Lytechinus pictus: one gene and its partner. The protein of the gene in region 1 purifies or fractionates together with the protein of each later gene. This does not show direct contact. Links are inferred from orthologs where the notes say so. Each region holds a gene or a part of one and is shown on either strand. Other genes may lie near its edges.

Region 1 (7,435 bases):
TCTTAAACATTGTAGGCCGGAGACCGGGGTGAACTGGGACGCGGGAGAAGTGGGACACCTCCTATATCTAGAAAAGTTTTCAACTAATCAGCTATCTGTTCTTATCCCCTGATAGACATTAGGTATTAGAGTAAAACCACATGGAAGCAACAGCGCAAGAACTCCCCTGCATGGTAAGTGTAATTTTAAATTTTATTTTTTCACACTTTTTTTGTAGTTTTTTGCAGTCAGTGTGAAGTACTTTTTGAATTTATTCTTATAGCTTTAGCAGACACTTAGCATGCTTTATCTAGGCCTTGTTAGTCCTAATAATTTGCATACTAAGTTTTTGCAAAAATGTGCAAATTTGAAAAGTTATCCGCCATTTAGATTTTTTGTGTTTGTTGGGATAAACTGGGACATGACTGTCCCACCTCTCCCTTTACTGTCCCACTTCTCCCAACTGTGTCCCACCTTACCCCATAGTCATACAATATGGTCCTCACACCAATGACATTCATATCACTTTAAATCAATATGGCATAATCATGTCGGTAGTAGTTCTTGAAGCTTGTGTTCATATAATTGTAGGCCTTGTATAAGTATGGCAAATTGATTCAAACACAATCTATTCAGGAACATGTAGTCTATCAATTAAATTAAAGCAGTAGGCCTACACTTTTACATCACCTTCATCAATACTCTGTTAGAGAACCTACTTGTCAAGTCATATGTTGTGGTACTGTCAACAGTTCATCCCATTTTTATACTTTTGCAGATAACATGCCAAGGAACTACAAACGAAAAACTCGCATGGGACTAACGTCCCATGCAGAAATGTTGGAGGCTGTTCAAGCAGTGGTGAGAGATGGGAAATCGATTCGAGATGCTGCCCAAGAAGCAGACGTAAAAAAGTCAACTCTCGGGAGATATGTTGCCAAGTTTCGCGCAAACCAAGATGCAAGACTAGCTCCTAAATATCAGCATTCCTTGGTGATCTCTCCAGAAAAACTAGAATGTTGAAAAAGTTGATCAAGTTTTGCACATATCTCAGTGTGAAGGATATTGCCCAAACTGTTATGGTTTAAGAATTTTTGTTTTACGTTGACAGGATTTTTACTGTAGCATGTGCAGATTAGGAATTTTCAGAAAATAGATGGGGAATATGTACCATATTTCATGAGTAAAAATACTCTACACAAAAGACTTTAAGGTATCGTGAAACAATATGAGCAACATTTGAAACATATCATCTGTTTTTTACGGTTGCAATATATGCTCAGTTTTAGACGGCTATTCCCATCTACACAATTTGTTGTTTCCCATATTGAATTAAGGAAACTTATGTTCGGTGTTTGTTATTTGCTTCCCCCATGCACAGTAGGTCTAATGTTTAGCGTTGACAGATTAGCTCAAAGCTTATGGCGGGATGGGCAAGTTGAATTAGATTTTAATAAATGTTCTAATTGTTGATGATAGAGTTACAGTTATAAAGTCTGACATTTTTTTCCTGAAACTACTTACACTAATTGTATGTGACAACATGTCCCCAGACCAATGAAAGGTATTAGCTTGTGGCCTTGTGCCACATCAGAGAATTATTGTAACTAATACTCTTGAAATATTTTAACTTCGTTTTTGAAAGGTACCCTAATTTTACATTTGAAAGAGCATCCAGTTTCAAAATCGCTTACAACAGTATAGCCTTACTTGTTACAAAATTTGAACTTCTAAAGGTTGATTATGATTTATTTCCCAAAATAATGACACCAAATTGGTGTGAAGTGTGGAAGGGAAGCATTCACCAACATACTTTTGGTGAAAACAAATTGCTTTGCTCAATTTAATGAACACCTGATCCTTCATTGTTAACTTAGACAAATATCTGCATATGAAGAAAGCAACAATCAACAATACCTGAAGGGCTGAAAATGCCAATACAGGGATATGTTGCCAACATTTGCATTTTCAGCCCTTCGGATATACTTTTATATCTTACTTGTAACTTGTACATGTAAGAGGATGTCACACAAATTTAAAGTACAAATATACATGTGTTTTTAAAAACAGCTGAAAAAAAATAAACCACAAATACATCTATTCATCCACAAGTTTTGATACTTATGAAGGAACAAAAAGGATGAACATCCCACAGCACTGTCAAGGAATGCCATAATTTTTATTGTATCAGTTTGAATTACAAATAATGTTGTTTTCAGCATTAAAAGTTAAAACCAGTTTACTTGAGGAGCATTTACATGTGTCTTGATCTAATGCATTATTTTCTCTGAGGTGTGTGCGTTGATCATGATTGATTTTTGATTGAGATTACAATGGCATTCATCAGCAATTAGGATTTTCTCATAAGTAATATGGTTTACATTGACTCTGATATAATAACTGGCTTTGGTGGATGGCTGATTCATGATTACGTCAAAGTAAGGGCATTGAATAACCTGACATTTATCGATAGTTACATTTTCTTTCGATATGTCTAAGATAACATATTAATAAAAGTATTCTGGGGGCATATCCATTTCATATCTGGTAAGTCATAAATACACATAAATACACACACACCCATTCACACTCACAGGCACGCACACATGAAAAGCACATATATATTCATAATATATATACATATATGCGCAATGTGATATTCTCAACCTTATTAGTAGGCCTATTTATTGTTTGTCTCACTTCTCCCTAGCCATCCCACTTTACCCCAGCCGATGTCCCAATTCTCCCAGAGGTGGCCCACTTCTCCCCGTTCAGAAGCTTTTTACTAATCAATGATTACACAAATATGAGACTTGCAGCAATATGAACCAACGTTCCATCATGTGGCCTAGCATCGGTTGTCTTAAGGTACAAAACACAAGTTCCCAATTCTGAATAAAAGAAAAGTTATAAGAGAAAATTCATCAACTTGTATTTTTTGTCCCACTTCACCCCGGTCTCCCCTATTGCTAAAAGTAATGATGGTAAATATAAATATTTTATGTGTAAATCAATTGTAAAAAGTCTATGGCTAGCTTTTTTGCAGTGACTCATGAATATGATACATATTTCACTAATCAAATAATGATTTAGGATGCAGGATGTGTATACCAAAAACAATTCGTGCTATGAGCTGATTACACTGACCTGTCAATGACTGTTTGCAGTGTCTCGTGATAGAAAAATCTCTCTTGACAACTGGCATACAGTGCTAAGCCCATTTCAGATTAAAGTAGGCCTACAAGAAATGTATCTCAAGGGATTTCAATATACAATTGTTACGAGCGCGAAGCGTGAGCTTATTTTTGTTTGCGACCTAAAACCGGGACATTCTAGTCAGCTACTGACGTTCGCATTGCGAAAAAAATATCTTGAAAATTTGCGAATAAAGATGGTGGAACTAAATGCCCTATTATTTCAGTCTAAATTGCGTACTGACAATGTGAAAGCAATTTACGGGAACTTTTAGCCCAGCGTGTCGTTGGGCGCGGGCGCTGTGGGTGGCTGCTGGGCTAGTGGTTTTGAATCTCGCGCCTTGCCTGCTTATTAGACCATACTGCCGCTGCGCGCGCATGCTCCTAACTTTAGGAATTTATCCCGAAGGGTATGTTTCGGGGCGATGTGAATGCAGGAATAATTAATGGGTATTTTTTAGCCTAAAAATGTTCTCGTAATTTAACGGGGATTCTTGTGATCGAGGCGGTTTGAAACCGCCTCTTTTTTCTCAACGGAAAACACGTACGTATATAAGACTCCGCATAACCTGCATCACACACAATGCATTACAAAGATAATGAAAGAAGTCGAGACGTTTGGAAAATATGCTGGGCCAAAAATCAATTGGACTAAATCAAATCTTATGAAAATGAATATAAACAACGGTGAAACTAACAATCTTTTTACTGAAGATCCTATAAAATGTCTTGGCAGACTTGGTGTCCTCCCCAAATAAAACTGAATTTTTTTTTCTATTTCCTTAAAAACGTCTTTTGGGACTATCATCAGGAAAGAAACATAGTTTAATTTTGAAAATGCATACACATTCAAAAGTTTTATTTTACCATAATATTGTAAGATCTCTTGCTTCCACCAACCAATAAGTCTTTTAATTTTACTCAAGATTTCCTTATAGTTCAAAATCATCTTTGACTTTAGAATCCCGTGCGAAATATACCCCTAAGATTTTAATATGTTGTAACCAATGTCCAAAAAGTGGTAAACTAGGTCTATCTCTTTCTTCTCCCAACCACAAAAAAGTTTGTTTTATTAATCTTCAATCCACTTAAATTTTTTTTACTCTATGGATCGAATCCATATCTTTTAGAAACAATGTAATGTCATCTGCATACAGAACTTCTTTTATTTCCCGTTTCCCAAATCCTATCCCTTTACTTTCATCATCTCTCCTGATATAATGAGCTAATAGTTCAATCGCTATGATAAATAAATGTGGAGAGAGTGGATCTCCCTGCCTTACTCCTCTATTAACTTCAAAATATCTCACTTCACTGCACTAAAAGTGAAGTGGAAGAACGCCATCTCGTGCTCAAACACCGTGGTTACGGGTGACGCATATTTTCTGGGATTAAATAAAAACACCTGATAAATTTCGGTAAATCATCACGGTCATCATGTTTGACGTAGCGCTAGCAGAAGCAGGGGCTCAAGTGCCTATTTCAACGTCAAGTGATGAAAATTTTCCTCCCGAGAATATAATTGATGGGTAAGATAGCCCTGATTGGGCTTGCACTATTCATTTTATTCTATACTTAGTCCCAGGTGTCCAATACCGTGTCAGTTTTACCCACTGAACTACAAGTTCAACTAAAAAAAAGAGTATTGCCGGACACCTTTAATTTTTTATTTCAGTGCTTTAAAAATGACAACTAGAGGAAATGCAATGAAGAAAATTTCGCACTTGCTGTGCCAAATATTATGAAAATTATGAATATGATGAAATTATTTAATATTTACCTAGGCCTACCATTTTCTTTGCATCGCACTTGCCGCAGGCCGCATTCGCATAGGCCTACCCCTCCACGGCCACGAAAAACAAATATTTTCGTGCGTGACAAATTACATCATGATTCCAGACGTGCGCCGGGCGGGTTAAGAATATATTCTTTGTTATAATGATGTAAAGAAGAATTGGTGTGATTTTGTTCTTAATATATCATATCATGAGTAAATTTGTTTGCTTTTTTTTATATCGAATCTGAGCAGATGTTGGAAATATAATTTGTGTTGCTAACTAATTTTATGTTTTCTTTTTAACTGCATATTCCAGGGCACTTTCCAATATTATGCTCGTTTGTATATCGTGATGCTCATCAAGTTCTATCGATGCGCTGCCGATCGTCGACTAAAATAAAGCTCTAGTCACGGTAAACCTTGCGCACGGGTACCTTGAGAACTAGCCGTCGACGATCACCCACAATACACCGCACCTCAACATTCGATCAAAGGAGCGGACGAGAAAGAAATTCGGCAAATCAGGCCTTATTTCTGTCAGAAAATATATCAATTGTTATTGCAAAACTATGTTATATGATATTTTAAGCATTTTCTGTCATTTTAGAGATAAATAAGGTAAACTAAAAGTTGGATTTTTTGCCTTGTTTTTGCAATCTTGTTCTATGTATTGCTCTGTGAAATTAAACTGCGGAAGTCTTACGGTACAAAATTGTTTTCGTACGTAGTAATATGCGCGTCCGGAATCATGATACTGTCCGGTAATACAATATGTGACTGTACAATAGTGGTTCTACCAAGTAACGTTTGACCTCTAACGCTACTACATGTTACGTTGGAGGGGTGGACATGGTGGAGGCACAAACAGGATGGGGGGGGGGTAGCCTGGAGGTAATTGGAGAGTAACTAAAACAAGTTGTAGTATATTGCTGTAGACTTATACAAGCTTAAATGGTAATGAATGCAATGCCTAACTGCCTAACATTAGCCCTAGCCTAGGGCCTAGCCACCAGCCTAGCCGCCATTGAATTCAAACAGTGCGCTAGTCGATGTCAACATAATATCAGGTTTCATAACAAGATTATTGCAAGTTGTGAAAAATAGACGGTGAACTGGGGGAAATTGAGGTCACTGAATCTATTTTTAGCACTCTCAAGCCTCGTAATTGCCGTCTCTATGTCCTGCAGTGGTATTAACCTGTCCCCATAAACAAGGATAGTCTCAATTCATCAAGACATGATTTGTCTTGGTTTATGATGATATCCTTATTTTCTGGGACAATCCCAATTTTTGGACCGGCGCCTCAGACTCTGAGGCACCAGTCCAAAAATTGGGATTGGGATGGGTTGAAAAAAATCTGGAAAAGGGGTGGGGGAAAAGAGGGAGAATTGTGACTGTGAGAAAATAAAAGAAAACATATTAAAAACAATTATTTATTACCCGTAGCAGTTGAAATAACAGCCCCCATCTAAAAAATAACTTGGCGCCATCCCTGATAAAATGCATCAGAGTGCAATCAAACGACCCCAAAAAATGTTAAATGTTGATATGTCACGCATTTTCTATCAATGCTGACGGTGGCGGGCGGTGTGCAAAGAAGATCATGCCTACGTAGGACATGTCTGGAGGTGTCTTTCCAAGGACCATTCTTCGTATCGCCCAAATCGGCTTTGTGAAACAGTTGAGTGATATCTCGTTCTACGTAGAACGGTTCTACCAAGACCATTTCCTGAAACAATCCCCAGGATTCCGTTCCAAGCTTGTGCTGTTACAGCAGTGCAGCATTAGAGACCTGGCCATGGGTAATTATTAGCCTTGAGGACTCCGTGATGATAATTATTTTTATATACTTTTTCATCAGGGAGCCTTGAAATGGTTGCCATATATGCATAAGCGAGACTTGTCAACAAGGATGGATTTCCCTAGGAAATCCATAATTAGAGGGTGAAATCAGTTTGTTTCTCTTGATTTTATTCATCTATGAACCTTCATACACCTAATGCGTACATGAAGGGATTAAAAATATTTTAGTATAAATACGAAAAAGGAGAGGTTTCTTACCAGACCGATCTTGTGTAGATCCCTCGATCCATTTGTAAACACCAAAAATACAATAGGCTTCACCCTTGAACCGCTTCGTTATGACGTAGCTTCGATAAGCGATGTTACAAAATGCCGTTTCAAAGAACAATTTATAGATGAAAATTATTATTTAACAAATAATAAAATTTGAAACTTGATTATAAATAACTATTATTAAATAAAATCAAGAGAAACAAACCGATTTCACCCTCTAATTATGGATTTCCTAGGGAAAGCCATCCTTGTTGACAAGTCTCGCTTATGCATATATGGCAACCATTTCAAGGCTCTGTGATGAAAAAGTGTATGTAAAAATATTTAAAAATATCATCATGGCTAGGTAATTATTGTTTTGTTACTGGGGTGCTGAGAATTGTCAGAGTACCCCAGTACAGAGTACCCC
Region 2 (7,328 bases), on another chromosome or scaffold:
TACTCTGACAACAAAACATTTTAAGATCTTTTTGAAAAATATGTTACATGCCACAAAAGAAATAGGCCAACCTGGAGAGAGTTTAAGACTATTTATAGAAAATCGTACACATGATTACATACATTGAAGAAATAATGTGAATAAAGCACATCTGGCTGATTTTAGTTTCATAATTTGGACCAGAATATGGGACATTTCACGCGCTATTTTGTAATCATAAACATGATGCATACAAGTATAGCAAACTAATGAAAGCGTGAGCTAAAATACTTTTTATACTTGAAAACAAGACATTCACTGTGATCCCCTCATGAAAAGTACTCATTAAAAAATGGAATGCAAGCTAAAAGCACAAGCATAAATTTAATTTTGATACATTGACCTAAAATTTTGCTAATTGAAATTCTTCCCTTCCCCTTCTTCCCTTTTCTTCCTCCTTTTATTTTTCTCATCCTTGCCTTTAGGCATTACATTGGCGGATTACCATTGCCATGCTCTCCCTTCTAGCAGAGCTTAGTTCTGAATTGTCATTCTCATATTTTGGATGGAGGAGACTTTTTCAAAGACTTTTTATCACTCCACAATTTTTTTTCTGTTCTTTTTCTCTTCTTTTGGGGTATCTTTTTTTCTCCCTTGTTTTCTCTTACAATTTCCCTGCCCCCTCCATTTCCCAATTCATTATTTCTATCACATTATATCTTACCCTTTTACTTTTATAACTTTGTCAGGGGAGGCAAATATTGCCACTACAATATCTGATTATCATGCAAATAATTGTTTCTAATTTGCCAGTCTAAATCTATTCCCTTAACATCAATCTTCAAGACACACTGGAGCCAAATACAAATGTTACACAATCCAGATCCCATGATAGGACCAGGTGTGGTATTCTCATTTCTGAGATCTACTTTATCTTTAATAAAAATAAAATATTTTATTCCTGTTAAAATCAGTGAGACAAAATATCCTTAAAATCCCCTTGAATTGGTATTCTGAGAACCATAAATCTTAATTTTATCTTGGAAACATGCAACAATTTTTGAAGAAATACTAGTATCCAATGAGAAATGCTGCTTTATAGCACTCTCATCTCACTAAGCCAATGAGGTGTGCTGAGGTATGATGAGTTACATTTTGTCCATTTATTGAATTCAAATGGCGCTTGCACGTTACACTCTCAACTTTTGTTCGATGTCAATGTTGCATCATAATAATAATAGGCATTTATATAGTGCCATCTATCTAGAAATAATCTATTCCGAGGCGCATTTTTTATTATTATTTCCCCGGCTTTAGCGCGAGCTGCCTTTCAGCACTCGGTGCATTCAAGGAATTAGTCCTGCCTGGTACCCATTCAACTTACCTGGGTTGAGTGCAGCACAATGTGGATAAATTTTTTGCTGAAGGAAACTACGCCATGGCTGGGATTTGAACCAACGTCCCCCTGTTTCAAAGTCAGAAGACTAATCCACTGGGCCACAACGCTCCAAAGACAGTATATATTAGTCAATTAAATTAGTCTCATTAAATAATTCTTCATTCTACAGGAATATTTCATTCCTCAATATTTTATTTTTCTTTAAGACAATATTTTTAATTTCAACATTGGATGTATGATGGGGGACCTAATTATGCCAATTTTAATATTTGAACAAATGATCTGTCACTAATTTGTGGTAAATATTCTAAAGATCCTTAAGCAAGAAGAAAATACCACAAACTCACTTACAAAAAGTCCTGCTGTGTTTTCAAAACACATCTTTATTTTGCTGCAGCTGCCGCCTGATGTACATTAGGAGTCGTAAAGCTACGCATTCATCATGTAAAGAAATACCGGTAGTATTTCCTGTGCCTTAAGTATGTTAATATTCATTATAGAAAAATATATGTAAGCATGAAAGTCACTGTTTTTTTCCTTTTCAGTTTATTTTCCCGTTTTGGTGCATTTCAGGCAAAAAAGGAATAAAAATCTTTATTTTGGTACAGTTCCGCCAGTATGTTGTTTTACAATTATAATGATGATTCAATGTTACATGCGCTAAGTTGTAAGCGCACCACCTTGTGTTGGTCTCTTGGCCACGGTTATTAACTCTTTGTGCGCATCTGTACTGAATTATTTTCAGGGAGGGAAACAATGCATTGTTTGTTGAGTGTGAAATGCGAAGTTCGCACGGCACTGAGTGTGCATTGGTGCGAAGTACGCGTGGAAAGGGTTAAAGACAGTTACACGTAACCTCAAAGTTGTCTAGTTTATTTATTTCTTTTAGTTTTACATTATAGTTGTGCCCTTATTATTATTAACCCATGGCGTTCTGTTTATGAAATAAAGACCACAAAGACAAAAATCAATGAGCCCCGTCAGGAGGATTTTGCATTGTTAACCCCCTAATGAGTAATGGCAGCTGCACGATCGCGAGACGTCTGTGTACGAGAAATTAAAAAAAAATTAATAGGGCCTATGTTAAAAATAAGAAACTCCTCGAAACAGACGGCTGCCAGCTACATCATGTCATTATTGGCGCAAGTACCGGTACATCACCATTGTCTAACCTAGCCTATATCTAAGCCTAAAAAGTACCTACAAAGCCTACGCCCACTGCCTAATTCCATGAATAAAGAATTGTCACTGCCTCTTCATCCCACTTCTCAGCCTCAGGCAAGAGGCCGCAAATGAACGGTAGCTACGGAGACGGTACCCGGAGCTGACCCTGCAGAGCGGGTGCGCAGCTCCGTTAATGGTACCGGTACCGCCGCGCCGGTACTCGTACGCGCCTGACTGCCAAATAACCAGCAATTCATACCTCTGTTGGCCCAATCATCAGTATCTTTGCTTTCATCTTGATACCAGAAGTAATTCAGACTGCGCTCCTTAATGGTCCGGCTACTTAGTACCGGAATTCACAACAACGAGCACCGCTAACTATTATTACTTAAATTAATTGATAAAGTCGACTGCTAGCTATATAGCTGCAGAAAAATGCTACTCTGTAATTTGTACGTAGAGGGCGTCCTTGTAAGATAGATGCAGATTCGATGGCTGCTGAAAATAGTTTGTTTAAGGACGTTCCACAGTACAGTTAAAGTGAAATCCATATCATTTTCACCAAACTTTGCACATAGATACTTTAGAACCTTAATATTCGAAATATGCAAAAATTAACATAGGTCCATGTGCTTGATTTTTTGCTATAGAACTTCAAAGTTCACCCAAATTGATGTTCTTAAGAATTGCGCATCCAAAAGAATTTGGCATTTTTAGACCGCCCTAAGATTACTACAATGAGTTTAAACCTCTATTACTCAGTCAAAATACATGAAAAAGTCATCAAATTTCGCAAGAGAGTTAATAATTGTATCGTTAGAATGGAGAATATATTTATAATGCTATTTGTTTGCAATTTTAAGTTTAACAGCACTGTCAGTTCTTAAAAATGGCGTAAAAGATAACAAAATCCCAATCTAAAAAATGTGAAATTTCAGTAACAAACTACAAAAGTACAATAAATGCTGCACTTTATTCAAAATCCATGTCATTTTCACCAAAATTTGTAGAGTTGTAGAGGACGGTTTACCTAAGAGGAACAAACATTAAAAAATAGGGGTTCATATGTGCTTGTTTTTAAACTATCAGTATTTTTATTAGAGCAAATGTGCTTTTTAAAACACCAAAAATGCGCCGAATGCTTAGTATCTATGTGAAGAAAAAATCAAAGCCACTCTACCATTTATTCAAACTCGGGGTAATATTCGTGATTCTTGGCAGCACTGCAGAGTAAAGTATTTTGAAATTGTAGAGAATCTTTTTTTGAATGGTCCATGGAATAATTCCAATTTTTAGCTTCATGAAATAACGCATCGGATCTGCAGTTAAAGTGCAGAAGATGAGAAAAATCAGCACATACCCGCAGCTAATTAATCACCTGTTCATCCATTGTGACGTCAGCGCGCAGAGTGTAAACCGTATTTATTTGTCTATGGTGTAAACTATGCGCAGATCATAATGCGCACAAACATAACTGTGGAACGTCCTTAATTTACTATCTCATTATGCTGAAAATAACAATTTTTATTGCCAAAAGGGTTGACTTGTGTTAAAGATATATAATAGATATTAATATCGTCACTGGCCTTATTTCGCTCAATTTATTATGCCAGACATACATGTAGGCCTACCTAACGTAAAATTGAATTGGGGGCCGAATATCGTCACTGGCCTTATTTCGCTCAATAATTTTTATGTCAGATATACATAGGCCTACCTAACGTAAAATTTGATTGGGGGAATATCGTCACTGGCCTTATTTCGCTCAATTATGCCAGATATACATGTAGGCCTACCTAACGTAAAATTTAATTTGGGGAAACAATGGATAAGCTCTACTCTTTATATTTTTTTCATGATCATAATTAACAACAGTACTAAGTATGTGAAAGACATACCGTAGATGTATATTTTATGATAAAAATACACAACGGAAATAACTATTGATTACACTAGCGTATACCTAAGGGGGCAGACTGCCCCCCCCCCCTGACGAGTCACAACTCATGCAAAGGACGTATCCCTGTCCCCCCTGACGAGTCAAAACTGATCCCTGACGAGCCACAAGTGGCCCCCTCCTTTGAACTTAAAGACCTTTTTTTTTTTTTTTGCTTGTCAATTTTTTTGGCGAACGAAATTTGACCCCCTTTGGAAAATCCTAGGTACGCCACTGATTGATTATATATCATTTTGATAATATTATTAAGTAATCTGGACCTCGTCACGCACGCTCATTATTTCGAAGGGAAAATCCTAAAGATTCATTGAAAGGGTGGTCTCTTTGATTTTTTTCTTTACAGATAAAAAGTTAACGAGGAAAGTTTAAAGTCTTCCACAAACATAATGTATTTAGGGGGTAATTTTACTGGCTTTCCTTCCAAATACCCGTTAGAGAGAAAATGATTCTGTTAGCTCTGATCCCTGCCAAATGCTCATGCATAGGGGAGTAAGTGGTTCCTCGAACCCAAAGGGAGATCTAATTAAGAAGCTGAAACAAACATAAATTAGATTGACCATCTAAATATGGGAGGCTGGGGGATTCGAAGTTATGCTTGTAACCCTTTAATAGTTGTATAAGAACGCATTTGGAATATTCTAGAGTAAAAAAAAAAGAGGAGACGGTTATTTGTTTATTGTTGTGATTTGTGGTGTTGTGGGGGGGGGGGCTTAAAAAGTATGTGGTGTTGCAGTGTTGATAATTTCAATATAATGAAAATAATTTATCATGGACGGCAGCTTTGGATGACTGCAATATTTCATTTTCATAATTTCATTTATGATTTCTGCAACTTTTCCAAATCAACAAAGCAAATATACAATAAATCGAGTACGTGACAAAATATCTGGCAATCAAGACACTGCACGAAGGTTTTTTTTAGTCATCAGCATTCTTTGCTACCTTTTAATGCATGACTCATTTTGTTTTGCGTAAAGCCAGTGGCAAAAATAATTTGTTTGATTTTGTTGGGTGATTCGTATATGAACATGTGTTGGATTATGAGAGAAAATAATAAACACATCTTTAAGAAAATTACATTTGTATGGTAAACCTCATATCAATGTCCTGAATCGATCAATAACATTTTGCGGGTTCCATCGCTCGCTCCGTATTCAAAACGTCCCTTCTCATGGCGTTTTGATGATATTGTTCAGTTTAGACCGGCGAAATGTTGAATGACCTGGAAAATTGACATGAAATTTAGACTGCAGAGTCAGAACCTTGGGCAGTGTTGTAAACACATCCGATTGAAAACCTTGGGCGAAGATAGCCTATTATTTTAAAGGGATGGTCCAGGCTGGAGATAATTATATCTAAATGAATAGACTAAAATTCAAAAAGCAAAATGCTGAAAATTTGATCGAAATCGCATAACAAATAACGAAGTTTTTTTAATTTTAAAGATTTGCATTATTCCGGTGAAACATAGTTCTAGGCATGTCTTTTTGAAAATTCATTAGGTGAGCTGATGATGTCATATCTCCATTTGTTCTTTTGTATTTTATTACATGAAATCAGGTTTATTCAACATTTATCTACCAAGAACTAAAACAATTGGATTTACAACTGATTTAGTTCATTAGTTATTTATTGCTGCAATATACAGTGTATTTCATCATAACTGATCCACATCATTTACACATGTATGAAAAAAAAAAAAAAACATTTATGAGTTCATGTGATAAAAACAGAAAAAAGGAAAGTGGGGATGTGACATCATCAGCCCACCTAATGAATATTCATGTCGATGTGCATATAACTGTTTTCACAAATATTGATAAACTTTAGAATTCAATAACTTTGTTATTATTTTTGTTATCCGATTTTGATGAAATTTTCAGCATTTTGCTTTGTGAATTTTACTATATTTATTTAGATATAAACATTTTCAGCCCGGATCATCCCTTTAAGCAACAGCCATGGTCATATTGGGAAAGGCCATGGTATTTAGGCGACATAATAAGCCTAGACATATTTTTTTGGCAGATGTAAAATAGGGGTACAGTTCAACGAGTTTGATAAAAAAAAAAAAAACATGATGTGCACCCCTGCCACGCCCCCTATTTTGATTCATCTTCCTCCTTCCTATCCGATTCCCTTTTAATCCTATCGTCCTATTTCTGCACTTTTTTCTAACTAAAAATTTATCTCAGTTTTATCATTTTTCCTTCTTAAATTATTTTTAAAAAATCGTAAGAGGTATACGGCTTGCTCCTCTCTGTGGTGATCCCATGATCCAGAGGACTTTGTCCCCAGCCCTCTGACTCAATGGCTGGCCAATGGGGGCAGAATTAACAATATACAGTAAAGACATGAACGGATGGAAATAATTATAATAATAATAATAATATAGGGTATTTATATTGCGCACATATCCACCTTGTTAGGTGCTCAAGGCGCTCCTATATTATTACCCGGCTAAGCTAGGCGTTCATAGCGCACACAGCTTTTTAAGGAATTACTTCCTACCGGTACCCATTTACCTCACCTGGGTTGAGTGCAGCACATTGTGGATCAGTTTCTTGCCGAAGGAAATTACGCCATGGCTGGGATTCGAACCCACGACCCTCTGTTTCAAAGTCTGAAGACTAATCCACTGGGCCACAACGCTCCAAATTATCAATTATGATAATTTTGCGAAATTTTCATTGCTCATTAAATGTTTATGAAAGCTAGACAAACATACAAATAACCTTCAAACTGTGATTCTCATAAATTTGTATCTTTCCTGACCAATTATATCGTTTGCATTCAACTAATCACAAAATAAAGCAAAAAAAAAAATCG

What was found. Proteins that work in one complex are often made in the same cells at the same time.
Region 2: the proteins of intraflagellar transport protein 25 homolog (region 1) and intraflagellar transport protein 22 homolog purify together in Homo sapiens (affinity purification with mass spectrometry; 3 studies listed by BioGRID and IntAct, with this or other methods). This does not show direct contact. The link is inferred for Lytechinus pictus from reciprocal best matches to the Homo sapiens genes IFT25 and IFT22.

Annotation. Positions count from the first base shown.
Region 1 is NC_087255.1:5,608,280-5,615,714, reverse strand, and holds the start of intraflagellar transport protein 25 homolog, read left to right. Parts: upstream 1-4,408; 5' UTR 4,409-4,610; coding exon 4,611-4,702; intron 4,703-7,435. UniProt on the Homo sapiens protein: Component of the IFT complex B required for sonic hedgehog/SHH signaling.
Region 2 is NC_087246.1:23,441,565-23,448,892, reverse strand, and holds the start of intraflagellar transport protein 22 homolog, read right to left. Parts: upstream 3,002-7,328; 5' UTR 2,838-3,001; coding exon 2,802-2,837; intron 1-2,801. UniProt on the Homo sapiens protein: Small GTPase-like component of the intraflagellar transport (IFT) complex B.